7 linked regions of the Macaca fascicularis genome follow. The protein of the gene in region 4 interacts with the protein of the main gene of each other region in a biochemical or structural test. Links are inferred from orthologs where the notes say so. Each region holds a gene or a part of one and is shown on either strand. Other genes may lie near its edges. The genes, in order: CLVS1, CDC42EP3, PDCD4, LRRK1, ODF2, GAK and POLR2M.

Region 1 (4,664 bases), on a different chromosome or scaffold from region 4:
ACATACATCAGTTACAGGTTGCAGACTTGTCAAAATTCAGACTGTGGACCTTCTTTTGAAACAACTTTATTCTGGTGATATCTGGATAAAATTAACAACAGTCAAAACAAGCAATATTTGGGAGAAGATTGAAAAGAAGGTCTCTCTTGGCAATGTTGAGGACATATTTCTGGACTGATTGGATATAGTCAAGCTTCATATTTTGTATACTCATTCTGCTGTGCTGCCTCCTCTGTCTGAGTCACTGTGTAACAGGGACACTAGAGAAGATCAAAGTCAGCCTGGATCCATTTACTAAGGATGGAAGGCTCTGCTATCAGGGAGTATGTAAAGTTGTGAAAACACTTCTAAGGGATAATAAAGTGCCTCTCTTTGTAAAACCTTCGGAAGTGAGCAGACACCACCAGTTCTGAAAAGTTCGAGATTTTGCCTTTTGGGAAATGAAAGACCTTCCAGCTGTCTACTCCATGATTCTAAATGAGACACTCTTCTATGAGCATGTCTACAAAAATATATGATGACACTGCTGGAAAACATTTTCTCTTCACCTTTAAATCCATTATAAAAATGAGTAATTTCTGTTATTGAAAATATTTTTAAAGGCGAAATAGCTCTCAATAGAAAAGATTTAAGTAAGAAAGCCAGGATACTGTCATTCTATAAAAATCAATAACCTCAGCATAACATTTCAGTCAAGAAAAGTCATTGCTTACAGACAGATGCCTGTAAATCTCACTGAAGCAGCATTGTTTTAAAATTTCCCCAGCCCCAGGAGATTGTATTAAACACAGGAAGACAGAAGCTCTAGAGGCACTGGATTCCTGGCCTGCATTTCTTGTGTGAAGCAGCTAGAATTGGCAATATGTACACTTTTAAAAATTGTCTGAGCTGAACCATTCTTTGCAGACAGAAAAGAGAATTTTAAGAATCTCCTTTCTCAGGGACTTTTAAGAGATTATGGTTACTGTGGATATTACCAAACCAAGGACATTATGTGGATGATCAAATTTTCTTCTTCTATAAAATCCATTTCACCACATATTTTGCAAGTTTTCTTGCTTGGGATCCAAAAGTGAATGAATTTAGAGGCAGGTGGAATCATATCTATATAATTAGTGGCAGTAATTAACTTTTGATGCAATGCTACTATTTCTCATTCTAAAAGTGAATTAAGTATGAATTTTCCTCAGAACTTCTTCAGGAAGATACGTATTTGTGACTGTCTTTATTCTCAACAATGCCTCTAATGGTGAGCAAGCTGGTTTAGATGAAACTTCCTTCACTGTCTTTAAGAGACAGAATAAATACACAAGGGCAATTTTAAAATCAAGCTTTTCTGTGCTCTGTTTTAAACTTTCTTGTCACATGTGACCTATTATTCCCATTTAAATGATCTCATTTTTAATTAAGATGTTAATTTCATTAAAAACACTTGTCAAAAAATTCCAATGCTTTACTGTTCAGTAAAAGTCAATTAAATGAGCACCCAGCAAAATATTTTTATTTATGACAGGCTCAGGCACTTATTTTCTGGTGCTTTTTAGCTCTTATAAAACAGATGATCCTGGCTAGATCAAATAAGGACTATGACTTGGGCTTAGACTTTCAGGTTCAAATTAATCAGACATTTGAAAGATGTTCCAACTTCCCTTCAGCCGAGATAGAAAATGATAGCACTCTAAAAGCAGAGCCTGGCAGAACGGAGTTACATAAAATGCCTTTTCAATTTTTGCACTCTATTACCCTTTACTATTATAGGAAAATGGTGTTATCACCTGATTACTGAGAAAGCACACAAAAATCTAGCCTTCCAAATCTGAGCCAGTCCTTGACTGATGATGAACAAAGCAAGGCCATCTGGTCTGAATATCATTACTACTTTGGCCATTTGGGCAAGGGATCTATTTTCTTTGCTCCAAAGAGAGGTTTAAGATTTGAAATAGAAATGAAATAAGTAGACAGGAAGAAACATTGGAACAAATAGTTCATTCGAATGAGAGCCCCCTTTCTTAAGTTACAATCATTACCATCATTTTTATTTTTATTCTGCCCTGAATTAATCTCTGGGGTCCCGATTTTGCAAAACATTTTAGTAAAAACAGAAGAAAAAACTTAATTCTAGAGTTTCTGCGTTTAAACACTTAGGAAAGGAAACGGACGTGTGGGTGAATATGAGTCATCAGTCACCCCCACCCTGCTTCCTGGTGATTCTCCATTGGAAAAGCAGAAACAGGTTGAGCTTACATTTCTATTTTTCTGGAATCACATTATGCCCTAGGCCATGTTAATTTCCTCAACTAAACAGACCCTAATCTGCTGAAAGGCAGCTGGCTAACTGCTGGTGTCTGGCAAGTGCCCCATCTGTCCCCGTGCCTGGGGTCTCTCCCTCCTGCCTTCACTTTCCCTTTCTTCCAAACAGGCGTCTCTCTTTGTTTTCAGGGGTTTGTTCACCTGAACTTTCCTTCCTATGCCTGTCAACTTGAGCTCTTTCCCTCTACCCTGAGGACCTCGGGCTTTGTCTAAGTGGCAAGACACACTTGTGTGACTATAGTTACGGCGCTGGTGATGGTGGCTATGATGACGGTGATGGTGGAGATGGGGGTGCTGATGTGTAAGGGGGCGCAGGCTGAGCGGGCGCCGGGAGCAGGATGGACCGCGGAGGCGGCGGGGAGCGGGGTGCGGTGCGCGAGGGATGGAGTGCAGAGGGATTGCAGATGGGAGCTGTCCACATACCGAAGTGCTGAAACGCCGCAGCCATGGCATCGCAAGAGCGGGGGAAAGGCGGGGAGGCTCTGCAAATACAGAGGGGAGAAAAAAGGCAACAAATACCTTCACACGGCCGCCCAGCCTTGCTTTGGGAATGTATTTCTGCAGGTGTCCTCGCTGCTGAATTGGGTGGGTGAGATCCCCTATTCTGGCAGGTTCGGGCTCAGATTTCTCTAGAAAGCTGTGAATGAGAGCTCGAGCTCCACACGGGGCTGTGATTTTTGGTAGGAGGCGTGTGCGCCCGATTCTCTGTCCTTCTATAGCGAGCCTAGCTTTCCCCTGGGTCCTAAATGCCTCCGTACCACAACCCTCCCTGGTTCCGTTGAGAAGTACCAATAATTTTTTGTAATTTTGTTAACACCTGGGACAAAAAGTACCGGCGCCATCACTCCCCACACAAAGTTAAAAATAGAATATTTCAAACGGATTAATGAAAGCACAAAAGCAGATGTGTGTGTGTGTGTGTGTGTGTGTGTGTGTGTGTAAATCTGACAGATAAGAAAGTATCACAAACCTATGGGGAAAAAGGATGAATTATTTTACTAACAAATGGTATTAAGAAAATGAACTATTTGAAGAGACTCAAATCAAAGTCTCATTTCACCAAAATAAATTACACATAGATGTTTTTATCAAAAACATAAAACTTAAAAATATAACTAGAAGAACAGAAATATTTTACCGATCTCAGGATAGGGAAGGTTTTCTAAGCACAAGAGGAATAGAAGAAATAAAAAAGAAAAAGATCAGTAAGTTTGAGTGCATAAAAACACTCTTGAATGTCAAAATATTAAAAAAGTAAATACAAATTAACACTTTAAAAAACTGCAGCAAGTAGATGTTTCATACACAAAGTACCACATAAAAGAGAAACACTAACAGCCTTTTAGAAAAAAAGGATGAATGTTAAATGACAAAGAATTTACAGAAGAAATGGGGATGCATAATAAACACATTTTTTAAATATCAACCTCACCAGTAAATGGAAATATGCAGTTTAATATGGCAGTTTGGGCTGAAGTTTTAAATACGCATATCTTATATTGTTGGAATAATAGTGAGATGGCATAACATTTTTACAAATCTATTTCACAATGTACATCCAGTGTCATAAATATACATGGCATTTAGATCCAGTAGTTTCATTTCTAGTACTTTATGCTAGGGATATATTCAGATATGCAAAGATTTATGTGTATAAATTTCATTTATGATCATAAATGTCAAAAAATAAAAAAGCATTAATTTTTCATACAAACTGTAATGTTTAGAGCTATTAAAACATATTTTTGAAAACTGCTTAAGACCAAAAATAATACTTGCAAAGTGTTAAGTGAAGGAAAGCAAGATATCAAATACAGCATTCCCATTTTTCCCCAGTTTTCAAATCAGTTATATCATCATGGGTAAATTTTCTTTTTGCCAAGATAACTTGATTTTCTTACTTGTATTTGTTTAAAGTTTTCACATTTACTAAAAAGTTAGAAAACTTATAAAATATTTTAAAGCAATCTTTCTGTCATATATTTCAAAGACTTCAAGGTCATCAGAATTCTTCCAACTCTGACATAGTATTACATATTTACTTATTTGTTTAGTCATTCTCTCTGATGGAATGTAAGTACCATGTGGCAGATAATTTGTTCACTACCGCTTCCCAAGCACTTACAAGTATGCCTGGAACAACACAGTTCTTAGTTTATACATTCTCAGAATGAGAGAATCCACATCTGGATATGATGTAGAGATAAGACAACCATCTAAAACTTAGAGATTCAAAATTCAGAAATGGTTGCAGCAAGTGAAGGAATTTTTGGAGATGGGTAGGGTGTGATCTATTGGTGGTAAGTTCTGTGTTCTATGGCTCCATGGGGGCTAAGATATTTTTGGTAACCACT
Region 2 (4,242 bases), on a different chromosome or scaffold from region 4:
TGGCCTACATGAAGTCCAACACAAATTTTTAAACTTTCTTAAAACAGTCTGAGGTTTTTTTTGTTTTGTTTTGTTTTGTTTTGTTTTTTTTTTTTGCAATTTTCTATTTTTATTTTTTTAAGCTCATCAACTATGGTTAGTGTTAGTGTATTTTACATTTAGCCCAAGAAAATTCTTCCAATGTGGTCCAATAAAATATTGGACACTCCTGCCTAGGGGAACTTGTTTCGTCTACTTGATTAGTTGTCCTAATTGCATTTCACCTGCAGTCCAAAGGTTATTTTAGATGATAGAATTGCAAGAACCCCAAACCCAAAGAAAGAATCGTTGAAGTGGTTGGGAGAGGAGGTCATTTCTGAGATACATTTCAAGGAGAAATACCAGTTTGAGAGAAGGAGCTGGTAGTTATTGTGTGCAAGTGTTTTTCTTTGATGGGGAAGGAGTGGTTGGCAAAGAGACAGGAATCTGTGTATACATTTCCTGCTCCTGTTTCCTTAACCACCATCCTCAGGGCATCTCTGGCACCTTGGGATGGGGTAAGTGCTCTCTACTGCCCTCGCTTTAGCTGCCTTAATCTTGTCTATATGGCACTTTCTGCATGAACAGACATTTGCCTTACAGGGATGAAACTGGACTTGCAAGAGTTTGCTGTAGAAGGGTTCAAGTCAGGAAGATGCTCAGAAATGAGGACTGAGAGGGTGGCATCAGTGTTGACTTTAAAAAAAAAAAAAAATCTGACCTCACATGTTCATCTTTCCTAAAGTAGAGAGGCTCAGTTTCTAGCCTCTCAAACCATAAGGAAGTAATCAAAATTAGAGCAGATGGAAAGCATCTCTTACCTTAAAGGCTCATGTACATTTCAGAGAAGCAACTTCTCTAGCTAGACTTATTCTTTTATGGTCTTGTTTATTACTATAAACAAGCAAGTTCACTTTATCATTTACTCTTTATTGTGTTGTTTGAAGTACCTATGTAATGCAAGTATGTACGGTACTAAAATACCTATATTTCCAAAAACATCATGTGGGGTAGACCACAGTCTCTGCAGAAGCATCATGAGTAACCTGTGCCTTTATACTTTACAATTCGTTATTGGTTGCTGTTAAAGGTATGATAACAGATGAAGAAAAAAAACTAAGTATGAATATACTTTTCCAAACACACACATACACAGCTTACAGTGGAATCCCAATGGAAACAAGTCAAGTGACATCTGATGTAGGATCTATAAAATGTAGACTCTGCAATAAAAAGCCAAAGGCACGTAAAAATATATTTTAACTTTAAAAATAACTTAGTTACAGTAATACTTTGCCTGTGTCTTACCAACATGTAGCTGACAGTCAAAAGTTTGCAATATAGATATAGAGGGATATATAAGAACTACAAGAAAATCCCCAAAACCCATAAGTTCAAATGTGAAAACAGAAAAGTTTTAACACTGGAGAATTCGCTATGGTGAGCCCAAGCAGTATAGAAAAGAGTCTACAAAAAGGCTTAGGTGTTAAATAAATTTTGACTTCCTCTTGCTCAGAAAATGTCGGAGTGCTGTAAAGTTCCATAAAGTTCCTCAGTGTGACTCGCTCAGACCTTCATAGCTAGTGCCAATCCTGGCCAAGCCAGATTTCTTGTGTGTCTGCAAACAATGTGTGAGCCGAACATCACCAATGCCTGCTGAAAAATGGGCTCTGACTCACTTCCTCTTTTTGCCAAGATAGGTTTTGCTGTGTTGTTTTTTCCTAAATTGTTTTTGCAAGGAGGGCATACCAGGTAAAAAAATACTTTGTAAGAATATTATTTTAGAAAACCCATCACAAAATTGCAAATACAGCTCCGGAAGCCCTTCTCTTCAACTGTGGTTAGTTTAGTTTTTGTACCTTTTACCCCAAAGGAAAAAAGTTGGCATCCTGTTACTTATTTTTATCCATGACATTCAGCACCTCATCCAAAAGTGAGGGCCCAAGATCAAGCTGCAGGGAGAGGAGGGAACCTGTAAGGTCAGAGAGGGACTCCTCTGACTTAGTCTTTCCCTTGATGAGCTCGCATGGGGCGGGATGGTCAAACATGTCCTCAGCTGGCCAGTCGGGGTACTGTTCGGACAGGCTGGAGGAGTGGCTGTCCCTGCCCTGGCTGGACTGAGATGCAGAACCGCTGGAGCCCCACGAGGTGTCTCCCTGGTGGTCTGTCCCATTCTCCAACAGACTGCTTTTCTCCTGAGCTTTTTCCTCCATGACAGGCTCGCAGCTAAGCCTGGGCAGCTTTGCTGGCCCAAAGGACTCCTGTTTGGAATTAAATGTCACCGGTGACAATAAGGGCAGCATGAGAGCTTGGGACCCTCCAATGGTCGGGAGGGAGATGGCATTTTTGAGCACCGGGGAGGGTGTTTCTGTGAACACAGAGTCCGAGGTGCTGTTGGCCCGGAAGAACTCGTTATGCCCAGGGAACTGGCCCAGGTGTGCTTTCTCCTGGTTTCCAGGTAAAAGCTCGTAGTTCCCTTGAAGAAAGGAAATATCTCCAAAGACATCGTGCTGGCCCTCTTTGCCGATGTGGATGGTGTGGCGAAAGTCTCCAAGCGGGGGACTGATCATGTCGGGAGACAGAATGTCCCTCAGTTTAAATTTCTTTCCTTTCTTGTTATTGGCTGCTTTCAGGTAAATTGGGGTCTTGGCTGGCATTTTGGAATTTGAGAATGTCTATTTTGCAAGTGGAAAAAAGGGCCACTTTCTTCACAGATGGTATATGTTTCTGAATAATCCTTTTTGATAGGAACTGTCACATCATTTTTTCAAGTGGCTTCAGAAGTGGCTTTGAAATGAGATGGGGTCAGAGAACCTTCCTGAGGTTACGGCCAAGTGAGGCTTGCTAGAGAGCCAGTTACATCATCCAGTCTTGACCACAACCAGGAGAAACCTGGAGAAGAAACCAAAGCAGGTTATAATCTAAAGACTCATTTGGGTGCCCTAGGGCCTCCCTTTTCACAAGAGCCTGTATATAATGGCAGGGCCAGTTCCAACTAATGCGAACTTATTGTTTCCCTCCAGTAAGTGGATAAAAATTTTCACCTTAATCTTAAAGAGAAAACAAAACAGGAAAGAGAAAGACCTAAAAACCCCAAATCTATGACACCAGTACTTTTTAGACATAGCCATGAACACATCTTCTGGACATGTCTACAGTTGTAGTCATTTTCCTCTATTCTAAGAATTGCTGTAAGCATAGGATCAGTGATTTCAGCTCCTTAAATACAACTGGACTTGTTTTAAAATACATTTTCCTTTTGCTTTGATGTGCATACTAGCAAGACTAATGATATTTCACTGAGTTCCATACGTACATAAGTTAATGCAATAAAATGAATAGTCCTACAAGGGAAGGTACTGGAATTATTTAATAAGTGACAATAACTTATATGCTACTGTCCTATAAAATATTAGTGGAATACATTCTTACAGATAAGAAAATGGAGATTCAGGATAAGCCCTTCCCCCAGAAAGTTACCTTTTCTCAATAACATATAGCCAATAAACAAGACAGCTAGAGTTGGAATTGGGTTGTGGCAAAGTATTGGGCTGTCGAGGACGTCAGGATTTGAAGGCATTCTGAGGTGGGAGGAGATGAACAAAACCGCTGCACCTCAAAGAGACAACATTGTGATTTTCTATTATAGGCTGGGCGTTCACTTGGGAACACCTCTGAAACATTACTGATAAGGCTATATCCTCCCTGCAGTAGGCAGAATTCGAGGGGAGCCCCCATGATCTGCCTCCTGGTGTTAATGACTTTGTAAGTAGAACCTATGACTGGCTTCTAACCAAGGGAATATGGCAAAGGTGACAGGTCACTCCCTGATTAGGTTACATTATAGGAGATTCCATCTGAGCTGACAAGGGAGAAGACTTGCTGGCTGTGGGGAGGTGAGCAGTTATACTGTGTGAGGGCCTATGGAAATGAAATCTGCCAACAAAGTTGGGGAGCTTGGAAGTGGATCTTTTCCCCAGTTGAGCCTCTGATGAGACCATCACCCTGGCTCACACTGAATCACAACTCAGTGAGATGCTGGAACTCAGCCCCACCCAGATTCCTGACCCACAGAACCTGTGAGATGGTAAATGTTGTAAGCCCTCAAGTTTGTGGTCATTTGTTACCAGTGTAGAAAGCTAACACATCCTCCCTGCACATACTATATGGTGAGATTAGGAGGGCATGAGCTATAAGAAGGCATTGGGGATGTAATGTCCTCTT
Region 3 (4,698 bases), on a different chromosome or scaffold from region 4:
TTTTCTTCAGAAAAGGGTACTATTTTGCAAAGCAAAAACAAATGGACCTTGTGTTAAAATTGTAAGGTTTTTTTTTTTTTTTGAGATGGAGTCTTGCTCTGTTGCCCAGGCTAGAGTGCAGTGGTGTGATCTCTGGCTCACTGCAAGCTCCGCCTCCCAGGTTCACACCATTCTCCTGCCTCAGCCTCCTGAGTGGCTGGCACTACAGGTGCCAACCACCACGCCCGACTAATTTTTTGTATTTTTAGTAGAGACGGGGTTTCACCGTGTTAGCCAGGATGGTCTCGATCTCCTGACCTCATGATCCGCCCGCCTCGGCCTCCCAAAGTGCTGGGATTACAGGCGTGAGCCACTACCCGGCCTATAAGCTTCTTGCTATGGCATAATCCTCAGACTAACATGCTATCATATTGCTTGGGAACTTAACAAAACGGTGAAATCATTCTCTAATTCTATTTAGAATAAAATAATGTGAATCTTTAAAATCACTTTTTAATACAACTCCCGCCAACTTTAGATATGAAAAAAATCTTAAATATATGTAGAGATTCATATAAATACATGAACAAAAATGATTTGCAAATCTAAACATTCAGCATCCTTCATGGCTGAAAAGGCCACATTCTGTTTTAATTCCATGCATGAATTACATATAGAAAAGGAATAATGTCATATGTGTTTCAGTTTTTTAGAGTTCCATTACAAAGTCTTTTTCATTCTTGATGAAAGCATAACCTTTGAGAGAATATTTTCTGCAGAGCCCAATAAGTGAAATGATTATAACTAATGTTTATAAAGCCCTTTACAATTCAAAAAGAATTGTACATGTATTATTTAATGTACCTTACAGAACAATCTTCAGGTAAGTACCTTACACACAACTAAACAGATTCAGAGAGGATAGGTGATATGTCCAACGACAGCCAGCTGCTTAGTGAAACAGCCAGGACGAGAATTCAGACCTTCCAAATCCAGTACTGTTTGCACAAGTTCAATCCAAGATTTTAATAACCCACAGGAAGATTATTTTCAAGGGTTACCAGAAGCTTATTAAAACAGACTTCTGCTGTTAAATCAAACTTTTAAATGCTGTTTTCCAAACACTAAAAATAATTATTTTAAACTATTATACAGAAGGCATTCCGTCAAACAAAGAAAACTGTCAGGAAATGACTATCATCTCTTTTATTAAGATAAAAACAAAGTTATCTTAATAGTCCTGTGTCGTTAGGCAATGATAACCTGATCAAGAACTCAAGTCATATTTGAGAGCAACAAACACGTTTTAAGAGTTTAGATAAGCATAAGACACGTTCTACGTTTTTCTTCTCTTTAAAGTAGTAGGATTTTTTCCAATTTATTTAACCACCCTTACTTGGCCCAAACAAGAAAATATAAAGCAAAAAATCCAAACCCTATTTCCTTCATACTAACCTACAAAAATGAATTTTCGATGAGAAAACTATACATACAAGTTAGAAGAAAATGAAGGCTGACATTAAACACTGTCCTTTTCTTCAGTGTTACATGAAACAAGCAATCAGAAGTATTCAATTGCCAAAACATTCCCTAAGAGACCCTCCACTCTCCCACGAAATATATATGTATTTCCTGAACTATACCTCATAAATTGCTCTGGCATTTTGGGGAGTCAAGCTTTGGCCATTTATTAACTAGGATTACTTGTATTCATTCTCCGGCTACAAACAGCTAATTAGCAGCTTAAAACCAGCTAAAAGCATTCTACTACAGTAATGCAAAAGTGAGCACTACAGATAATATTCAAGTGGCATTTATTTTTGCAGTCCTAACAATTATTTTTCCTTTCACATTAGTACCACAGAAAAAGCCAATCAATTATAATTCCAAGACACTTACTGAAATATTAAGGTATTCAATAAGCCTATAATGAAGGAATATTAAGGGTATAAATGCCAGTAACTCCTTGCTTAAAAAGCACTTGGTGGTTTCCCAAAAAAAGTCACGTTATCAAAATCATAAAAATTAAAGTAAAAATACAAGTTAAAAAACAAGGGAAACCCTTTTTTGCCAGACATGTAGTCGCATTTCTGATCGTTTTCATCATTTGTAGACACTACACAGTCGCTGGCTATGTAGCGAGTTCTCAAAAGGGGTAGGTGGGCGACATTGACGTCTGCAGACAGTTTTGAAGCTCTTGCAAAACTCCATGTACGTTACAGCATCAAACTGACAAATGCAGCAGACGGCATGCGTTTCACAGAAAGGGGGCTCCCTTCCCAGCTTTGTTTTCTCTGGGAGATTATATTTTACCTGAACTAAAAAAAAAAGAGACCCTTTGCCGGAGGACTGGCTCGGCGAAGTTCGCGCGGGGCTCGGGCGGCCGGCACGTGTTCGCCTCCTAGGGCCCCCCCAGTGAGGCTAGCGCGCGGCCCCTCCCCACAGCGGCCGGACCCTTTCTCCCGCAGCGGGCTCAGGCCAGGACCCCCGAAGTCCCCAGCCCGGGTCGGCCCCCGGAAGGGGCTGGGCCGGGGCCAGGAACGGAGCTCCAGGGTCACGCCGAGCAGGGGGGCGCATCTTCAGAGAATTCCCAGGGAGAGCAGGGGGCGGGGAGGGCGCGAATCTTCCTCACAGGATTTCAGTCCAGCCGGAAACACGCCTTCCAATCCCGGCCCCTGAATTCAACCTCCGCCAGAGGGGGAGGTGGGTTGAGGGAGACCTTCGAGGGCAAGCGTCCCGCGCGCCCCTCTCAGTGGGAAGAGGGCTCCGGGAGGGGGCGGGCCCGCGCCACCACGCTCCAGGCTGGGCCCAGAAAGAGGGAACCGGGCCGGCTGCCCGCAGTCCGGGGCGTTGGGGCGGGCGCGGCTGGACCTGTGGGGCTACGAGGAGGCAGCCGGGGCCCCGCACCGCTGGCCCGGACCTGACAGGGCCGCGGCCCCCACGCCCCCGCCCCCTCCCATCGTGCGGCTGCCTCCGAGGGGGGATGGGGGAGAGGGCGCAGTCTTCCCGAGCGTGTGAGCCGCGCCTACTGGTACTGACCCCTCCGGCCCCTGCCGCTGCTCGCCCAGGTCCCTGGTCAGCCGGCCCCGACCCCGCTCTTCTGGCTCTGCCGCCGCCTCGGAGAGTCTCTGGCCCCTCTCGCTCTGTTTGTTTTTGTTTTCTTCTACCCAGTAACACGGGGGCGAGAGGGCGGCGCTTATTGGCCAAGGCCGGGTGGTCGGCTGGCCAATCGTGGCGGTGGAGCCGGAGCTGAGGCGGAAAGGGGAGAGGAGTGAAACGTGGAAAGTTGGAGAGGGGCGCGGAGAGCGCATGCGCTTGTGGTTCCTGAGACTGGCTGGAGCGGGAGCGGAGCGGGAAGCCGGGGTGGGGGTGTGTTGGGAAGCGTGGCGAGATGGGAGCGTCGGGAAAAGGGCAGTGCTGGGGGATGGGAACGAGGATGAAGCTGCCTAGTCCCAGCTCACCCATTCTCCTTACAGGGCGTTCTGCAAACTGGGCTGAAGCACAGGTTTTGAGCTTCCTGACGTCGCTGCCTCCATTTCTAGACACTCCTTAGGTGAACACTCCAAGTGATCAGCCTGCCCGATTCCTCCTCCCTCTGACCCCTGCTTTCTCCATGACTTCTAGTTTCTGCAGATCCCATGCTAAGAAGTTTCTCTCAGCGAATCCCCTCAAACCTTTGAGATAGAAATAATTCCCATTTCACAGATATAAAACAGGCCCCAAAACTCTTTGAAGTCCCTTTGCTAATCATGACTTGCCAAGCCTCTGGCGTTCGAACGCACTAATTCCGGACTCCGGTGCTGGGAATCTCAGCCATGGCTACAATTTCTCTATTGAAACTTCCACCTCCCCTCGCTGTTCTCTCTGACTTTTCCTCTTGGCTGCATTCGTTTTGCCTGGTCCTGTCCTTATTTCAACGTCACGGTCCCCTGAGGGTGATAACCAGAACCTTATGCTTCCTCTGTGCTCCCAGGAGGGGACTTAGCCACTACCTCTCATAAGATTTTTCAGTTGTCTGATGGGCAGCACCTGAATGATTGCTTGGTCCCTCCAGAACCCAACTGCCTCATCCCGCGCAGGCCAGCGCCTTCCCTTGGCTGCCCAGTCACCCTGCCTGGGAATCATCTCTAATGCTGCTATTTCTCTGCACACACACACACACACACACACACACACACACACACCTTCACTGGCTTCCCACTGCCTCTCTTGAGTGTCAGCGCCACGGTCGGTCGTTCAAGGCTCCACAATGTGACTTAAAGACTTTCAAGCTGTGTCTCCACACATATCCCTATATGCCTCCTCAACCCCTGGTAATTCTTTATATATCACCTTGAAATGTCTCTCTTCTCATCTCCTATCTCTGCCTGGTGCAATCCTTCTGTGCCTCATGGCCCTCCCTAGTAGTTTTTTATTTTGTTGTTGTTGTTGTTTTATTTAATTGAGGCAGGGGCTTGCCCTGTAGCCCAGGAGAATGCAGTGGCATGATCACAGCTCACTGCTGTCTCGACCTCCCTCAACTTCCCTGGTTCAAGCGATCCTCTCACCTCAGCCTCCTGAGTAACTGGGACTACAGGTGCCCCTCACTATGCCTAGCTAATTTTTGTATTTTCTGTATGCACGGGGTTTCATCATGTCGTCCAGGCTGGTCTTGAACTCCTGGGCTCAAGCAATCAGCCCACCTGAGCCTCCCAAAGCTTTGAGATTACAAGCGTGAGC
Region 4 (4,120 bases):
TCCCGTTATAAAGATGTCCTTGTCTCCCTGCCTCTGATGGCTGCTGTCATGTCTGAAGGGTCGGAAATCCCTTCTCACAAGTCCAACTCAGCACCCTCTGCAGAGGAGGTCCCAGAACACCATAGACACCCCTCAATGCAACGGTCCCTCGGGGTTTACAGAGAATGAGGAGCACAGGTGCTGCCTGGGCTGACATTCCTATAGCAGTCTGTTTTGCATTACTATAAAGGAATGACTGAGACTGAGTAATTTATGAAGAAAAGAGGTTTATTTGGCTCACAGTTCCACAGACTATACAAGCATGGCTTCAGCATCTGCTTGGCTTTTGGTTAGGCCTCAGGAAGTTTTTAGTCATGGCAGAAGAGAAGGAGAGCCAGCATGTTACATGGTGAGAGAGGGAGCAGGAGAGAGAGGAGGAAGAGCCAGGCTCCTTTTCACAATCAGCTCCTCTGTGAACTGACATAGGGTGAATGCATTCATTACTGCAGGAGGGCACCAAGCCATTCATGAGGGATCTACCTCCATGACCCAACCTACCATCAGGCCTCACCTCCAACACTGGGGATCACATTTCAACATAAGATTTGGAGGAGAAAAACATCCAAACCATCTCAAGGCTGCAGATTGGTGGCTGAGCAAGGGCTGTGGCATCCGGGGTCAGCACAGCTGGGAGCTCTGTCCTGTCCCTTGTTCAGTGAACAGAGACGATACTCAGCCGTGGGGTTCTCTGTTGCAGGCCAAGGCCCCAAATGCCGTGGTGCTGGTGGTCGGGACACACCTGGATTTAATTGAAGCCAAGTTCCGTGTGGAAAGGATTGCAACGCTGCGTGCCTATGTGCTGGCGCTCTGCCGCTCCCCCTCCGGCTCCAGGGCCACAGGCTTCCCAGACATCACCTTCAAACACTTACAGTGAGTGCCCAGCCTCTAGCAGCTCCCGCCTTCATGTGGGTGCCAGTCGCTGATCCTTCCTGGGATCTGCTTACAGAGAGCTCCTGAGGCTGGGTGGGGCTAGGCCCCTTCCCTGGCCAAGGGGGGGCAGTCCACAGAGCTGACCCAGCCTTGGAGAGGGTGAAGACCTACCAGACAGCTGGCTGGGTGAGGCCTGGAGATGCCCCCTCTTTGCTTCCTTTCTGCCCTGTCCCCGCCCCAAGGGCCAGTGCTGAAACTGCATGGTGCCCATTGAACCAGGTGACTGAACATGGGCACCACCCATCCAATTGCTGCCCATCTCATTTTTTGATCACTGATCAAGGACAGACCCTGGGGAGGGAGGACCTAGCCCTTGCCTTTGGTCTGAGTGGTCCTGATAGCAGCCTTTGAGTTAAAAAAGGCCAAGAGTTGGGAGGGGCTTTCGGGTGGGCATCACGACGTGTCCATGCAGATAAGTTCAATTGCCCTGGGCTGACCTCCTGTCACTGGTTGTGGGGATTGTTTGCCACCTTGTAGATGAAGAAGCTGAGGTTCAGCAAATTGTGTGCCCTAATGGGAGTAAAATATACTGCACATTGCATTAGCTGCCCTGGCAGCTCTCAGATTCCCTCGCCCGGGGTGGAGCGTCATGGGTATTGGTGCGTGGGTCAGCCTGGGACACATTGGCCTGGCTCGGAATACGGGATGAGGCTGTCAGGAATTATTGCTTTGACCTTGAGAAAGTCCCATAGGGTCTGTGATAAGAGGAGCCCTGGCTCTGGGTCAGAACCTGAGACCAGCCTGCGTGAGCCTGTGCCTGCCCAGCTTGTGCCCTTGGGGGTCTCAATGTACCTCTGCACCTCACTTTCCTTCTCTGTGAAGTGCCATGTTTGGTCTAGGAAGACAGACTAAAGCGACAGTGTGGGGCACCCAGCACAGTGATTTGCACAAAGCAAGGCCTCAGTAAACTTCTTGTGTTGTCTTTCATGAGTTCTCCAGACTTGCCAGCATTCAGGACAAACCTCTTGGGAAAACAGAGAAGCTGCAGCACTTCCTCGGAGTGGGGCACGATGAGTAAAGACGGGTCTTTTTGCACACAGTGAGATTTCCTGCAAGAGCCTGGAAGGCCAGGAAGGGCTGCGGCAGCTGATCTTCCACGTCACGTGCAGCATGAAGGACGTGGGCAGCACCATCGGCTGCCAGCGACTGGCAGGGAGGCTGGTGGGTACCTCGCTCGTCCAGCTTAAACCAGTAGGCCTGCTTCCCATTGTTGGGGATCCTCACTTCCCCTCTCTCCTGTGAAGCCCATGTCCATGTGGCAAGGCTCAGTCGTTCTTGGTGAGGGAGGGTCAGGATGGAAGATAGTGGGTGGAAATGTCCCACCCACTCAGGCCACAGGGGCCAGGCAGGATCTGCCCCAGCTGGCGGGCATGCCTCGGGAATTGCCTCGTCCGTCTGTCCCCCAGATCCCCAGGAGCTACCTGAGTCTGCAGGAGGCCGTGCTGGCAGAGCAGCAGCGCCGCAGCCTGGACGACGACGTGCAGTACCTGACGGACAGGCAGCTGGAGCAGCTGGTGGAGCAGACGCCCGACAATGACATCAAAGACTACGAGGACCTGCAGTCGGGTGGGTGGGGCTGGGGTGGGCGGCAGGGTGCCCGTGAGAAATGGAACTGTCTGTACTTCAGCCTGGCCCTCAGCAATGAATGAGAGACCGATAATCAGCCTGTGTTTCTGTCTTCCATCCCCCTCCCCTTCCTTCTTCCCTCTCACCCTTCTTTCCTTGGAGGTAGAGAACACAAACAGCTACTCTACACCAGCATTGTGTTGGCCACAAGGGCAGACATATAAACTGATGGACTGGTCCATGCCCTCCAGGGCTGACGTTCAGTCAGGGAGACAGAGGTCAAACAGTTACAATCGATTCTCATTAGCCACAGGACTTATGTTCTGTAAAGTCACCATGATCACTGAAATAGCAAATACTAAACCAGTGCTCCTAGGAGAGACGCAGGGTTCAGCTCCTGCAAGCCTCTGGTCAGAACATTCTCATCAGCCCATCAATACAGAACCTTGTTTTATGTGTGTTGCTGCTTAAAGACACTGTACTTAATATATAGTGTTGATTTGTTGGCATTGAACTCATGGTTAACAGTACTGTTGCTCATTCCTGAACAAAACTTATCTAACACACAGGTTTTCTCCATAAGGCACATCGCAGCCTTCTCACGCTTAGGGAACTACACAGCGCTTCAGCACTTCACTTGGGACCATTTTAAACAGTGAAAGCATCAACAAAAAGCACAAAAATTCAAAAAACATGGCACTGACATAGACCACTAAGCAGGCCCCTGTTTTCAGCACGAGAGTTGAGAGTGTTGCCCTGTTCAGCCTCCGCTGGGAATGTGCACATTGGTCAATGCAAACTTTTCACCACTCAGCACATGTCTGCAAATAACCACAGGAGCATTGATTTGGGGGTCGCAGATAAATTTTAGTAAGAAGGCAAATTTGCAAAGGCGGAATCCACAAATAATGAGGATCAACTGTAGTTACCGAGGTGGCCATTAGCCTAGGACTTTGGCAAGAGTTACCAGGGGCCACCAGGGCACCTGTGATCAGGCTGCCAACCCACCTGAAGGGTCCAGCATGTGGGGCATGTTGGTTTCTTCCTAGGAAGAATTTGTGACCTGGGTCCCCTTGGAAAGTAAGGCCACCCCAGAGTCCCTTTCGCTCCTTTGTCTAACTGCTGCTTCCTCCTCTCCTTGCCTGGGGCAGCCATCAGCTTCCTCATAGAAACTGGCACCCTGCTACACTTCCCAGACACCAGCCACGGCCTGAGGAACCTCTACTTCCTCGACCCTATTTGGCTGTCCGAATGTCTGCAGAGGATCTTTAACATTAAGGGCTCCCGGTCAGTGGCCAAGAATGGGGTGATCAGAGCAGAAGACCTCAGGATGCTACTGGTGGGGACTGGCTTCACACAGCAGACGGAAGAGCAGTACTTCCAGTTCCTGGCCAAGTTTGAGATCGCCCTGCCCGTCGCCAATGACAGGTGAGGATACAACTTACCATGCCAGGCTGTGCAGGTTGCTCCCCGAAAGAGGGATTTGGGGTCTGGAGCCACTGGTGGCCTGAACAAGATTTCCAGGGATCAGTGCTGCCACTGCTGCCCCCTAGGGACAGGCCAGCACCTGATGACCTGCTTGCCT
Region 5 (4,815 bases), on a different chromosome or scaffold from region 4:
AAGCCATGACCGCGCCACTGCACTCCAGCCTAGGTGGCAGAGGGAGATCCTGTTTCAAAACAACAACAAAAAAGAAAAAGAATTTTTTTCAAAAAGCATTAGGCTCAGGCACGAGAAGTCACTGTAACGCACACTCATCAAATTAAGGCTCAAATAGTCCCCTAAGAGAATAAAAAAGCATCTGTTTCCCAAAATATTCCACTTCCTATCCTTTAAGCTCCTAAGCAGCAGGGGATTTTTTTTTTAATGCCATGTGTAATTCACATTGCTTACACATATACTGTACAGCCCCATCAACAGATCTGCAAAGACAGAAAAAAAAAAAAAAAAAACAGAGAGAGCAAAAGTTTAAAAGTTTAATTTGCTCCAAAAATCTTTCAGCAGTACATCCAAGAACTCCAGGACTTGGAATTACCATCTGATCCATCTCACTGCCCTTTTTGTTTTTGTTTTTGTTTTGAGATGGAGTCTCACTCTATCGCCCAGGATGGAGTGCGGTGGCCCAATCTTTGCTCACTGCAAGCTCCGCCTCCCAGGTTCAAGCAATTCTCCAGTTCTCCTGCCCCAGCCTCCTAAGTAGCTGGGATTACAGGCGTGTGCCACCATGCCCAGCAAATTTTTTGTATTTCTAGTAGAGACGGGGTTTCACCATGTTGGTCAGGTCTTGAACTCCTGACTTCAGGTGATTCGCCCACCTCGGCCTCTCAAAGTGCTACGATTGCACAGGCATGAGCCACCGCACCTGGCCCCCAAAGTGGGGAGAGATCAGAGAGGCTGAGCAACCAGGGGGTGGCGGGGAGGGTGGGGCAGAGACGGGGCGGTCCCAAATTATCATCCTGCCCTCTCTACAAGTACTTGAGGAAAATAATGCAATATCAAAATGCAAGGAAAAAATACTTGAGCACTGTAGTATGCGTTTTGCTGTATGTGTATTACATCCTGATTTTAAAAAGAGGCAATGGCCAGGCGTGGTGGCTCAAGCCTGTAATCCCAGTACTTTGGGAGGCCGAGACGGGCGGATCTCCAGGTCAGGAGATCGAGACCATCCTAGCTAACACGGTGAAACCCCGTCTCTACTAAAAAATACAAAAAAACTAGCCGGGCGAGGTGGCAGGCGCCTGTAGTCTCAGCTACTCGGGAGGCTGAGGCAGGAGAATGGCATAAACCTGGGAGGCGGAGCTTGCAGTGAACTGAGATCCAGCCACTGCACTCCAGCCTGGGCGACAGAGCGAGACTCTTGTCTCAAAAAAAAAAAAAAAAAAGAGGGAATATGTATATATATATAGAGAGAGAGAGAGACAGAGAGAGCGCTCTACTGATCCTTTAGCCAAGGAATACCAAAACTGAGAAGACAGGCTTTTTTCCCTAATCATTCAGAACATTGTTCACATAAAGCCAACAGTTTTGGGAAATCTCTCAGTGGGTTTCCTGTCAAACCACCTGGATTCCATCATCTTGCTAACTGCCACATCCACCTCCGACATGTTATTTACACCTCAACTCCCTTCAAAAAGGCTCTGAACCTAGTACTCTATGAAGACAACAAGAGTGACCCTGTTTGCTTCCAGGAAGCTGTGACATTTGGGGAGGGAAGGAGCCAGGGAGGTAGAGCTGAGATTGTGTATACATTTCGTTCCCCCTTCCCTTTAAAAATGATTTTTAAATGTTTTGGTCCAGACTTTCAGCAAACACAATGAGGAAGCTGGAAGCCTCAGGCGAGCCTGCCCTGGGGACCCCTGGCCACCTTTCCCTGCCCTCGGGCGCAGGCGCCTCCCACATCGGCAGTACCTGGGGGAGCCGCCTGAGGATGAGGCAGACATGGCTAGGCATCAAAGCCGCAAAGGTGGGCAATTGGGTCAGCAGGCTCTGCTCAGGGGGACCCAGAGGGGCGGGCTTTTCAATGAGCCTCTCAAGGGGCCCGGCATCAAACGTCCTCTCTGAGGGGAGAAGGGTGGAAGCTTTGGGGTTGGCAGTTGGATGAAAACTTGGGAGGCGCTCCTCTACTGTCCAAGTCGCACAGCAACTGTCCTGCCAAAGTAGGGGGAGATAGGAGAGGCTGAGCGACCTGGGGGCAGAGGGGAGGAAGGGGAGGGGACGGGGCAGAACGGCGAGGGAAAAGTACCACCGCGCCCGGGCCCCACGCGGAGGACGGCCGGTGGCTACCGGGGGAAACCTGAGGCGCCGGCGGACGTGCGGAGAGGGCAAGTGAGAACCGCTCGGCCCCAAGTGGGCCCCAGAGGGCCGGAACCGCGCAGGGAGCAGCGGGGATGCTGGGGCGGGGTCGGACAACTGTCTCCTAGGAGAAGGGGCGTTCCCGGAAGAACAGGTGCCCGAGAGGACCAATAGTGTTTGAAAGAGGGAGGCGCGGAGCCCGGGCGCCCCGCCGCGAGGGAAAACCGAACAACCGAGTTCTAAGCAGGTTAGACATCGGGCTGGGAGGGGGCGGGCGGGACCCCCGCGGGCGAGGGCCCTGGCGACCCGGAGACGGTGCCCGGGGGACAGCGCTGCCTACGGAGGGCCGGCAAGTGACTGCCGTGTGGAGGCCCGCGGAGAGGACGAGGCAGTCGGGGCGAGGCCGCCGGCGGGCAGCAGAGCGAGGGACAGCCTCTGTCGGCGGAGAGAAGGGACGGCCACCCACCAGCAGGCAGGAGGATACCGGTTTCTGCCCATAGAGAGAAAGGTGAAGCCCTGCCCGCGGGCGGCAGAAGAAGGGCAGAGCCCCGCGGTAGCCAGGAGAGGAAGGAGGCGGCCGGCCGCCCGTTAGCGGGAGGAGGAGAGGTCCCGTGCCGGTGGGCGTGGCGGGGGCCCAGGTTCTGACAGGAGGGGGACGAGCGCGACGCGGCGGGGAACGCAGGACCCGACGGCCCCGCGGGGCCGACAGCGCCGGGGGTACGAAGGCGACGGTCTCGCCCGCGGTGCCCCGGAGCGCGCTGGATCCCGCCTGCCGGCGGCCTCTCACCAGGAGCGACACGGCTGAGCCCAGAAACGCCGCCTTATGAAGTCGTTGAAGTCGGAGGCCAGGGTCGTGCCATGGAGACGCCGCGGCGGATGCAGTCTGGCTCTGGCGGCGGCTCCTCCCGGCTTCCGCCTCCTTTTCCGACACCCGGTCGGCAGCTCGCCCATTGGCCAGTTCAAACCCCCCCGGGAGCTGCTTGGGCTTCGCCATCGAGGCCCAGCCCCTAGCGTCACAGAGATGCCCCGCCCCGCCAGAAGCACCGCCCACTTCCGGGCCAAGCGTCCCGTCACCAAGGAGACGTGCGACCCGTCCAGCAGGCCTGGCCTGGTCTCGCCCCCAATTCAAGGGCTTTCCCGCTCGGCCCTGTTTCCCCTGTCTTGGGTCCTCCCAGATTCCCCTCACTCAAAGGAGCGTACGGTTCCGACGCGCTCCCCTTGGTACCCACCAGGAAACTAGGCTCACAGGGGACCCACGGAACACGTTATTGGGAGCTGCACACTGCCTCCGAAAATCCAGCCCTGCCCCTAATCCACTGTTAGTGCAGAGATGGAATCGGCTTCTGCGCATTCCCCGGCCTCTCTCCCCTGCCCACATCGCCTCTGTCTTGGGCCCAACAGGAAAAAGGGTCGGCATTCCCCTTGCGCTTCACTACCCTCCTGCACTCTGTTTTTTTTTTTTTTTTTTTTTTGAGACGGAGTCTCTCTGTCGCCCAGGCTGGGGTGCAGTGGCGCGATCTCGGCTCACTGCAACCTCCGCCTCCCAGGTTCACGCCACTCTCCTGCCTCAGCCTCCCGAGTACCTGGGACTACAGGCGCCCGCCACGCCCGGGTTTTGTTTTGTTTTTTTTTTTTTTGTATTTTTAGTAGAGACGGGGTTTCACCATGTTAGGCGGGATGGTCTCGATCTCCTGACCTCATGATCCGCCCGCCTCGGCTTTCCAAAGTGCTAGGATTACAGGCGTGAGCCACCGCGCCCGCCCGGCCTACTACCCTCCTGCACTCTCCATGCCGCTCTGTGTACAGACCTATTCTGATGAGGTCCTTGCTGGTCCGCCATCTTCTCAATTATGCTTCGCTGTCAGCCAGTCAGGGGAGGTCTGTCACGTGGCTCATAATGCCGCCCTGGAATCTGGGAGACCTGAACAACCTCCGAGCCAACTGGGCCACAGTCCCTTGACCTTTCTCCGGTGACCCCGCAGCACCTTAGCCACACACCTCCAGGGTCACACAAGTTTTTCACCTGCAATCCTAAAGTCAAACTCGCAAACAAAACCTGCTTTTCTGCCTCACTTTCACAGTATACTGCATACTGAATTTGTTCTGTAATGTCAGGGAGCTCCCCTATTCTTTGGTCCATTCATTGTCTCTCTGTCGAATAATTGACAGATTTCCTAATCCTCATTGTAACCCAACCTTTTAAGACTCTGCGGTGGCTCACGCCTGTAATCCCAGCACTTTGGGAGGCTGAGGCAAGCGGATCACCTAAGGTCAGAAGTTCAAGACCAGACTGCCCAACATAGTGAAACCCCGTCTCTACTAAAAATACAAAAATTAACCGGGCGTGGTGGTGTGTGCCTGTAATCCCAGCTACTAGGGAGGTGGAGGCAGGGAGAACTGCTTGAACCTGGAAGGCAGAGGTTGCAGTGAGCCAAAATCACCACTGCACTTCAGCCTGGGTGACAGAGCGAGACTCTGTCTCAAAAAAAGAAATACAGGTTCAAGGAAAAGAGGACAGGAAAAGGAGGTCCCAGTCCTCCTGGGGCAGGCAGGAGATGGTTCCCAGAGGTGATGGTATTGGAACTGAGCCATGAAAGATGAGTGGAAGTTCGCCAAACAAGCAGCAAAGGGAATTCTAAGCAG
Region 6 (4,120 bases), on a different chromosome or scaffold from region 4:
TTCCTCGTGGGATGCAGCCTCCACAGTGAGAGCCCCATGGCTTCTCCAGGCCTCGGGCTCTGGCTTCAGCCCTGTGACTTAACTGTGGAGTGTTTCTTGTCATAATCAAGTTTTCTTCTTTTTAATTCCAGTTACGCAAAGGGTGACCTGGACATATCTTACATCACGTCCAGAATTGCAGGTACGTGTGCACGTGAGGCTGTGGGATGCGCCCTGTGTGCCCAGTGAGTCCCTGCTGTGTGTCAGGGCACAGGTGCCTCTGCTCCAGCCTCCTCTGCAGCCACAGACTCACAGGGACGGCCTGTGCCCAGCGCCTCCAGGCGCAGCAGTGGACAGGGTCAGCCCCAGCCTGGTGCCTCCTATGGCTCCCTGAGGTCATGCTAGGAACAACACAAGGCTGTGCACCAGGCATCCCAGTCACTCATCCCGGTGCCTGGAGATCGGGCATGTGTCAGAAAGCTGTCTCAGGAAGTCCCAGCCACTGGCTGGCGGGCGTGTGGCTGGGTCCGCGCTGCTGGGTCCACCCAGGCCGGGAGTCTGCGGAGGGTGAGGGGGCCAGCTTTGTGGGCAGTGGCTGGTGGAGCTGCTGGAGGCTGTGCTTGCCCGGGAGCGTGAGGAGCAGCAAGGCCTCAGCGGCAGCGTGGCCACAAGGTACACGTCTCCCGGGGACGGCGGCTGACGCAGGCCTGCTTGTTTCAGTAATGTCGTTCCCGGCAGAAGGTGTGGAGTCAGCGCTCAAAAACAACATCGAAGACGTGCGGTTGTTCCTGGACTCCAAGCACCCGGGGCACTATGCTGTCTACAACCTGTCCCCCAGGACCTACCGGCCTTCCAGGTTCCACAACCGGGTGTGTGGCCACAGGCTTTGTCTTGGTGCCACTGTGGCAGCTTCCTCCTGCTCCAGTGCAGGGGTGTAGCTGAGGGCTTTGGCCAGGGTGCGGCTGTGATGGGGGCAGCCGGAGGTCCCCTGAGGGGCTACAGAGTGTGGAGCAGGAGGAAGCGAGGTGGGGTCTCTGTTGCTCTGAGGACGCCGCTTGACGGGAACCCTGGAGGCCCCAGCTCTTCACTGCTTCCTGCCTGCCAGAGGGTGCTCGAGGCCGCAACATTCCTTCCAGACATGACCCCTGTCAGTATGCAGGGGGACCCAAAGCCAGGAACAGCTGACCGAGCTCTGTCTGCAAGGCCAGTGGCAGCCCTGGTGCTCAGATGCTGCAGAGGCTCTCGGTCTGCAAGGCCAGTGGCAGCCCTGGTGCTCAGGTGCCGCAGAGGCGCTCGTGCAGATGGACGCCTGTTTATGACGCCAGCTGGCAGAGGCCCCTGCGCTGCAGGCAGGCTGTCCCTCTGATCTGACCAAGGCTGGGGCGGGGCTCTTCTGCCGTCCGTGCCACCGTGCCCTGTCCCCACAGGTCTCCGAGTGTGGCTGGGCAGCGCGGCGGGCCCCGCACCTGCACACCCTGTACAACATCTGCAGGAACATGCATGCCTGGCTGCGGCAGGACCACAAGAACGTCTGTGTCGTGCACTGCATGGTGAGCTCCAGGGCCATGCCCTGGCGCCGTCTTTTATCAAAGTTCATTATTTCATGCATAGTTCAACGGCATCCGAGCGCCAGTCGTGAGCTGGGGCCTGTTCTTCACCCTGGGACACGGAAGAAAGTCCCTGTGCTTAATGTCTTCGGGTGTGGAGGGGACAGATGCCAGATGGCCCTGCCCTGCCCTCCCCTCCCCATGTGGCCCTGCCTGGCTTTGACCTGCACGCCTGTGTGGAGGCCACTCTGCTGTGTGAGGAGCCCATCTCCCCTCCTGCACAGTGGCCACCTAAGAGTCACCTCCAGTTTCCCCATCTGCAGTGCGAAGCTTAGTGGTGGTTGAGCCTCCCAGGCTGTGGCAGCTGCCACTGTGGTTGATGGAGTTGAGGTTTCCATGAGGGGTCTCTCGCGGGGGTACCGGGCACCAGCAGAGCCTGTCAGAGCGGCCCTAGCCCTGCTCTTCGTTAGGGAACCTTCGGTCTCTGTTGGGCTCCGTTCTCGCCTCGGCAGGCGTGTTATGTGGTTTCGTAAACATGTCCCAGCCTCAGAGAGAACAACCCTGCGTCCCCGTGGCCATGGGGCGGGTAGGATGGCCGAGGACCCCGCCAGCCCTTGTCCTGCGTGAGTGCGAGGCACGTGCGAGACGTGTCTGTCTGTCCTAGGACGGGAGAGCCGCGTCTGCTGTGGCTGTCTGCTCCTTCCTGTGCTTCTGCCGTCTCTTCAGCACCGCGGAGGCCGCCGTGTACATGTTCAGCATGAAGCGCTGCCCGCCAGGCATCTGGCCGTCCCACAAAAGGTACCGCGTGGCCCCCCGGGGACGGGACGGCTCCGGGCCCGTGTGGCACAGCCGCCATCGCTGCGGTGTCTCCTGGAGGGCCAGTCGGTGCCACTGCAGGCGCTGGTGGGAAAGGCAGGCCCAGCCTCGCTGAGCCACAGCTGAGCCCTGGGTTTATGCCCACCCAGGGAGGGTGGGCCCTCAGCCGCGGTGGTCCTGACGGCTGTGGGGCAGCACCTGCCTAGTTTCTGGGTGGACGCGAGGTTCTCTGGCAAATGCCACATGTAGCCCGTGCTCGCTGGGCTGGGCTGGGCAGGGGCGGCTCCTCTTGGGACCCCGCTCTGTCCCTCCTGCAGGAGTCCTCTGTGGTGGGCTCTGGTGGATAATGCATGTGAAAATGCCGTGTGGACCACCTGAGACAGGTGCTGTGTGCAGCACCTGACGCTGCTCAGACCCGAGTGAGGCTGCAGCATGTTTAGGGCCCTGCCAAGTGCAGGCTTCCGTGCCGGTCACCTCAGCACGCAGCAGACTCTCCCTGGCCGCGTGGAGGAGACTTTCTCAAACGGGAGTGCGGCCACAGCGTGTTTAGGGCTCTGTTTTTCGAGGCTGCAGGTGTCTATGCCGAGGAGTCCTTCCCAGCATAAAGCCTCCCCTGGCCTTGGTCTCACTGAGGACCTGGTGAGGCTGGAGCAGCCTCCCAGCCTCTGAAAGAGCAGGCCTTGACCTGGACCACAGACGGCCCAGGAGCAAAGGCCGGCCCCGTGGCCCCACCATGGCGGGAGGGAAGAGGAGGGACCCAAGCTTCGAGGGACTCCCCATTCTTCATCCCGTCTGGACGGAGCGCACAGCCTGTGGACAGGGCGAGTGTCGGGAGGCCGATCCTGCTGCTGTGGATCCCTAGGGAGGGCCCCACCTTGTTTGCTCACAGCCTTATGGGGAGGAGATTGTGGCCGCCCCATCCAGCTGTTTCTGTGACCCCAGCAAAGTCGGGAACCCCTCCACACATTGAGCTGAAAGCCATTGGCACCCCCAGGCCAGGTGCGGTGGGGCCTGCTCAGCAGGGGGCATCTGAGAACCAGGGAGTCTCTTTCCCTGTGAAGTGTGGTTGGGCTTCCATGACCCCACCAAATCCCACAGCTCCTTCCTTGGAGGAGCAGAGAAATGTGCAGAGTGCCGCTCCCACCGGGCAGGTGGCTGGACCAGCGTCAAGTTCATGGCCTTTCCACATCTCTGGCCCAGAATCTAAGGAGAGTCAGGTGCCTGTGGGAGGAGGTGTGTGTGTGCACTGTCTGGGTGGACATAACTAGACCCCAGAAGAGAAGGAGGCCAGAAGGAGTATAACCGGTGGAGGCCAAGTGTCTCAGTGGGCGAGTGAAGCCTCCAGGGTTGCAGGACTGGAAGGGTCCTTGCCCTCTGGAAGGCACAGTCTCCATGGGCACCCACAGGACAGATGGGAGAGTGAGGGCTGGGCAAGGGGACACAGCTACTATGAGGGAGGCTCAGACCTGGCCGAGACCCTTTTTTCTGCCTCCAGATGGAGGAGATGAAAGAGCTGCACCCTGTGACTCTTAGGGAAATTGAAGTAACTGATGTGCTGAGGACGCTCATGCAGGGTGCGTGGTCCAGTGGATCACTTTCAGAGCCGTGGAAAGAGGACGCTCATGCAGGGTGTGTGGTCCAGTGGATCACTCGTCACAGCTGTGGAAAGAGGACGCTCATGCAGGGTGTGTGGTCCAGTGGATCACTCGTCACAGCTGTGGAAAGAGGACGCTCATGCAGGGTGTGTGGTCCAGTGGATCACTTGTCACAGCCGTGGA
Region 7 (3,743 bases), about 52 Mb from region 4:
TCCATGCCAAGGCTTTTATGAAAAGCCAAGGCAGATTAACAGCCTGTTTTGCTGGGTTTTTTTTGAGACAGGGTCTCACTCTGTCACCCAGACTATACAGAGTGCAGTGGTGCGACTGCAGCTCACTGCAGCCTCGACCTCCTGGGCTCAAGCAATCCTCCCACCTCAGTCTCACGGGTAGCTGGGACCACAGTTGCATGCCACAATGCCCGGCTAATTTTTTGGTAAAGATGGAGTCTAGCTATGTTTCCCAGGCTGGTCTCGAACTCCTGAACAGCCTGGTGTGATACTGGCTGGTACACTAGTACCTGACTAAAATCTAGCTAAGCAACACCTAGGAAGTGAGACAGGATACTGTTCTCCTGGAGGCTAAAATTGTTACTAAATACTTCTAAACTTTTCTATTCCCCTGTGGTGCTTCACACTTATTTTCTCCCATCCCATTACTCTGTATACAAACTCTCAACATACAAGTTTAAAGTTCAATGCAAAACACATGGAAACAAAGTGCTATGCAAAATTGATTAAGTTGCCAAAAGCAGATTTTTTCTCTTCACATAGGCCTGCGGATTATGCTCTGAAACAGTGTCTCACTGTCTGCTGGCTATACAACATTATCCTCCCACTCCTTCTATGCCCTCCCCTGTACTGCAGGAGATGGAAGCCTGGGAACTACATTTTCCTCATTCTCTAACAAGGGGTCTGGGTTACAGTCCACCACTCAGAAGCTGTCACATGGGTTTTACAAGGTGAAAGGGAGAGATGCGATGCTACTACTATCCTAACAGGAACAGGCAGGTACATGAGCTTCAAGACATGAAATTCTACAAGTCTCCCCACATTTCCTGGCAAATCACCACTTTCATGTTGAAGGTAGCTGTGATCATCTCTAGCCATTTCCTGCAGTTCTAGCAACTTTATGACTCTGAAAACTAATGGCATAGGTCTCTGAAAACTAGTGGCATAGGTCTGAGCTCATGGAAGCACCTAATCCCCTCTATTCCATTCCTTCCTCCTTGAACCTGGAGTAAATTCTGGCTTATGTAAGAGGCACCAAACAAACAGACAAGAAAAAAAAATAATACTCTAAATACCTCATAATTCTGTTTCTGTTGTTTCTGAAGTGCCAAAGATTCTTCTATGGAGAGCAGCTGCGTAGGCATATGGTGAAGCGGTAGAAGCCGAGCTGCTGTGATGTCATCAAGATGCTGCTTATCCCTGCGCCGCCGCTCTTCTGAGGAAATAGGAGACCCGCTTTTCTGACAATGACTAGACGAATCATTTTGTCGAAAAGGTAACCTGATGAAAGGAAAACTTGTGCTATATAATCAGACTATTTTATTTGTAGACACATTTAAAACATTCACACAAATGACCTTTACCTCAGCAATTAACTCTCCTCCAAAGGTAACAGTAAGCAGTTTACCAGTATTTATTGCTCTAACAAACAGGGGTGTGTTTGTGTGCACACAGGCTCTTGCCTTTTCCTTCCTTATTCAAACCTTGTATTTCATCTGGAGCTTTTTTTTTTTTCATGTATCATTCAAAGAACATTTGCAAAAGGGCTTATTGCCCAGTAGAAAGAAAGAAACATGTAAAGTTTCAGTGCAATATAATACCAGAGGTACTATGGCAGATATCTCAACAAGATACACTGGAACATTAGGAAATGGCCAGTTCTAGTGGGAGACAGGGAGGCTGTAAGAAAAGCTTCTAAAAAGCTTTGAAGAGTCTTGGAATAACTGCTTACCATTTAAATAAGGAAAGAAGTGCATCCCAGCAAGGGGAGTGAGAGAAAGTACAGAAGGTAGAGAGACTCAGCTTTTCTGGCTACACAGAAAAGACAGCCAGAAAGAAGGCTGGGAAGTAGGCTGGGCCCAGACTGCAATGAAGAGTTCTCCGTAACAAATTCAGATTTCCACCTTACAAATTTCACTCTGGCAGCAGTGGAGACTGACTGGTAGTTAAGACTAGAGGTAGAAGAGGCCACAATTATAGCCCGAGAGAGATGAGAGTCTTCACTTCGACAGAAGATGAAGAACAATTATAGAGATGAAGATCAAAGAAATAAGTAGGTCTTCATGGCTAGCAGATACGGAGATGAGAAAAATGGAAGATACCTTAGGGGAAGAAAACAAAGAACGTAGTGGTCCTATTAAGAAATATGGAAATTACCTTGGAAAGAAACAGAAGTTCCACTTTGTACATGATTAAGCTGAGGTGCCTAGGAACACCCAAGTGGTCAAGTTTCATGGTTAATTGGCTATGCAAACCTAAAGTTCTGGGAAGATCTGGGATAGAGGTGGACAGGGGTCAGCCTCCAGCATCCAGGTGATACATGAAACCAGAAGAGTATGCAGAAGGAAGAGCAGAAAGGACCCAAGGACACTAAATGACCCCACCTTCCAACCTCCAAGCCACTTCTCACATGGAACCCTCTAAATCCTTGTCTATGGCATAAGGACTCCTCAAAGCCCTGTCTTTCCTGTTCTCCTCTAACTATACAGAAGGCTCCCTGTCTCTTCAACTTCCTGAATTCTTGGTAGCCCTCATCACTATTCCCTTACCTCTCTCCCACTCCCAGCTAAATGACCGTAATACAGAACTGGGATTAATGTATTCTTTGTTGTATTTATTGACTAGATGATGGTTCTAGTTTCCTAAAATGTCATCCTGGAAGTGAAGAAAGACACCTCACTGTACACAAGAGATGACTTGATCACATTAATGCAGTATAATCCTGATTTTCTATACGGCAGAAATAAAATGTTTTGCGGTTAAAATGAATGCTGGGGTAGAGTTAAAGTCTAACAAAAAAGAAGCATGTGTTAGGCACTTTTCACTAGAGATTTTCTGTTTTTCAAAGAAAGGTAGTAGTAATTTAACTTTGTATTTGATGTTACATACTTGTAAATACAGTATAGGAAGGTACCTTTTGAGTTGAATGTTACATTTGCTGCAAGTAAATAGCAATTATTTTCAAAAAGACTTTACTTTTCCTGAAATTTCAGAAACAAATTTATGGCAAGGAACTGATAAGGAGAGTTTTTGCCTATCCTGCCTGAATCTATTTTCAGTTTTTCAAACTCTCCTCAGCTTCCTTCCCCCTGAAACTGTTATTATGTAGCTTAACTCTTTTCCAAGGGTGTAAACCTTGTGTCCTCATCTAGCTCTGAAACTCCTTGAAGAACATGGTGTTGTATTACATTATACATGTATACATTACAGCCATGTTTTTAAACTTGAGGTATAACATCAAAAAGGCAAAGAAGTTTAAGAATCTTGACTTCACTGTGTCCCCACAACACCTGCTGCTTGCTTACATTCAGTGAGCATACAAATAATTTTTGCTGGAAAGCCGATCAGCTCCTGCAATTGCTTTACCCTTAGTTCGCAGACTAATCAAAGAGAGTACACTTTGATAGTACACTAATCAGAGCTGTACACTAAAAAATAGTTCTGAAAAAAAGACGTCATAATAAATTCTCTCCAACTCTGTGTTTATTATGAAATATTGGCTAAGCGTCCTGAAATTTAATATTCCCCCAAGTGCTATTTAAGACCCTGTCAATTACTTAGTTTCAAAACTAAATATTTTTCAGCATGAACCTTCCACTCCAGCCAGGCTGGTCTCAGTGTTTCCACAATATGTTCTTTCCTAACTACAAGTAGTTCTCATACAAAGCCCATGGAACTTAGAGCATTCTCCTTATTTATGAGAAAAGGTCTTATTATAAGTTGCC

Evidence for each region.
Region 1: the proteins of LRRK1 (region 4) and CLVS1 form a complex in vitro, tested with the Homo sapiens proteins (2 studies listed by BioGRID and IntAct, with this or other methods). The link is inferred for Macaca fascicularis from reciprocal best matches to the Homo sapiens genes LRRK1 and CLVS1.
Region 2: the proteins of LRRK1 (region 4) and CDC42EP3 form a complex in vitro, tested with the Homo sapiens proteins (2 studies listed by BioGRID and IntAct, with this or other methods). The link is inferred for Macaca fascicularis from reciprocal best matches to the Homo sapiens genes LRRK1 and CDC42EP3.
Region 3: the proteins of LRRK1 (region 4) and PDCD4 form a complex in vitro, tested with the Homo sapiens proteins (2 studies listed by BioGRID and IntAct, with this or other methods). The link is inferred for Macaca fascicularis from reciprocal best matches to the Homo sapiens genes LRRK1 and PDCD4.
Region 5: the proteins of LRRK1 (region 4) and ODF2 form a complex in vitro, tested with the Homo sapiens proteins (2 studies listed by BioGRID and IntAct, with this or other methods). The link is inferred for Macaca fascicularis from reciprocal best matches to the Homo sapiens genes LRRK1 and ODF2.
Region 6: the proteins of LRRK1 (region 4) and GAK form a complex in vitro, tested with the Homo sapiens proteins (2 studies listed by BioGRID and IntAct, with this or other methods). The link is inferred for Macaca fascicularis from reciprocal best matches to the Homo sapiens genes LRRK1 and GAK.
Region 7: the proteins of LRRK1 (region 4) and POLR2M form a complex in vitro, tested with the Homo sapiens proteins (2 studies listed by BioGRID and IntAct, with this or other methods). The link is inferred for Macaca fascicularis from reciprocal best matches to the Homo sapiens genes LRRK1 and POLR2M.

What each region holds. Positions count from the first base shown.
Region 1 is NC_088382.1:71,211,599-71,216,262, reverse strand, and holds the start of CLVS1 (clavesin-1), read right to left. Parts: upstream 3,000-4,664; 5' UTR 2,830-2,999; intron 1-2,829.
Region 2 is NC_088387.1:84,513,808-84,518,049, reverse strand, and holds the end of CDC42EP3 (cdc42 effector protein 3), read right to left. Parts: intron 2,911-4,242; 5' UTR 2,676-2,910; coding exon 1,911-2,675; 3' UTR 928-1,910; downstream 1-927.
Region 3 is NC_088383.1:119,957,787-119,962,484, reverse strand, and holds the start of PDCD4 (programmed cell death protein 4), read right to left. Parts: upstream 3,110-4,698; 5' UTR 3,019-3,109; intron 1-3,018. UniProt on the Homo sapiens protein: Inhibits translation initiation and cap-dependent translation. May excert its function by hindering the interaction between EIF4A1 and EIF4G. Inhibits the helicase activity of EIF4A. Modulates the activation of JUN kinase.
Region 4 is NC_088381.1:86,091,794-86,095,913, forward strand, and holds part of LRRK1 (leucine-rich repeat serine/threonine-protein kinase 1), read left to right. Parts: intron 1-736; coding exon 737-909; intron 910-2,009; coding exon 2,010-2,130; intron 2,131-2,375; coding exon 2,376-2,535; intron 2,536-3,686; coding exon 3,687-3,963; intron 3,964-4,120.
Region 5 is NC_088389.1:15,514,689-15,519,503, forward strand, and holds the start of ODF2 (outer dense fiber protein 2), read right to left. Parts: upstream 3,134-4,815; 5' UTR 3,124-3,133; coding exon 2,960-3,123; intron 2,029-2,959; exon of another isoform or gene 1,821-2,028; coding exon of another isoform or gene 1,789-1,820; intron 1-1,788. UniProt on the Homo sapiens protein: Seems to be a major component of sperm tail outer dense fibers (ODF).
Region 6 is NC_088379.1:968,425-972,544, reverse strand, and holds part of GAK (cyclin-G-associated kinase), read left to right. Parts: intron 1-131; coding exon 132-181; intron 182-699; coding exon 700-848; intron 849-1,406; coding exon 1,407-1,529; intron 1,530-2,190; coding exon 2,191-2,324; intron 2,325-4,120. UniProt on the Homo sapiens protein: Associates with cyclin G and CDK5. Seems to act as an auxilin homolog that is involved in the uncoating of clathrin-coated vesicles by Hsc70 in non-neuronal cells. Expression oscillates slightly during the cell cycle, peaking at G1.
Region 7 is NC_088381.1:34,169,995-34,173,737, reverse strand, and holds part of POLR2M (protein GRINL1A), read right to left. Parts: intron 1,300-3,743; coding exon 1,095-1,299; intron 1-1,094.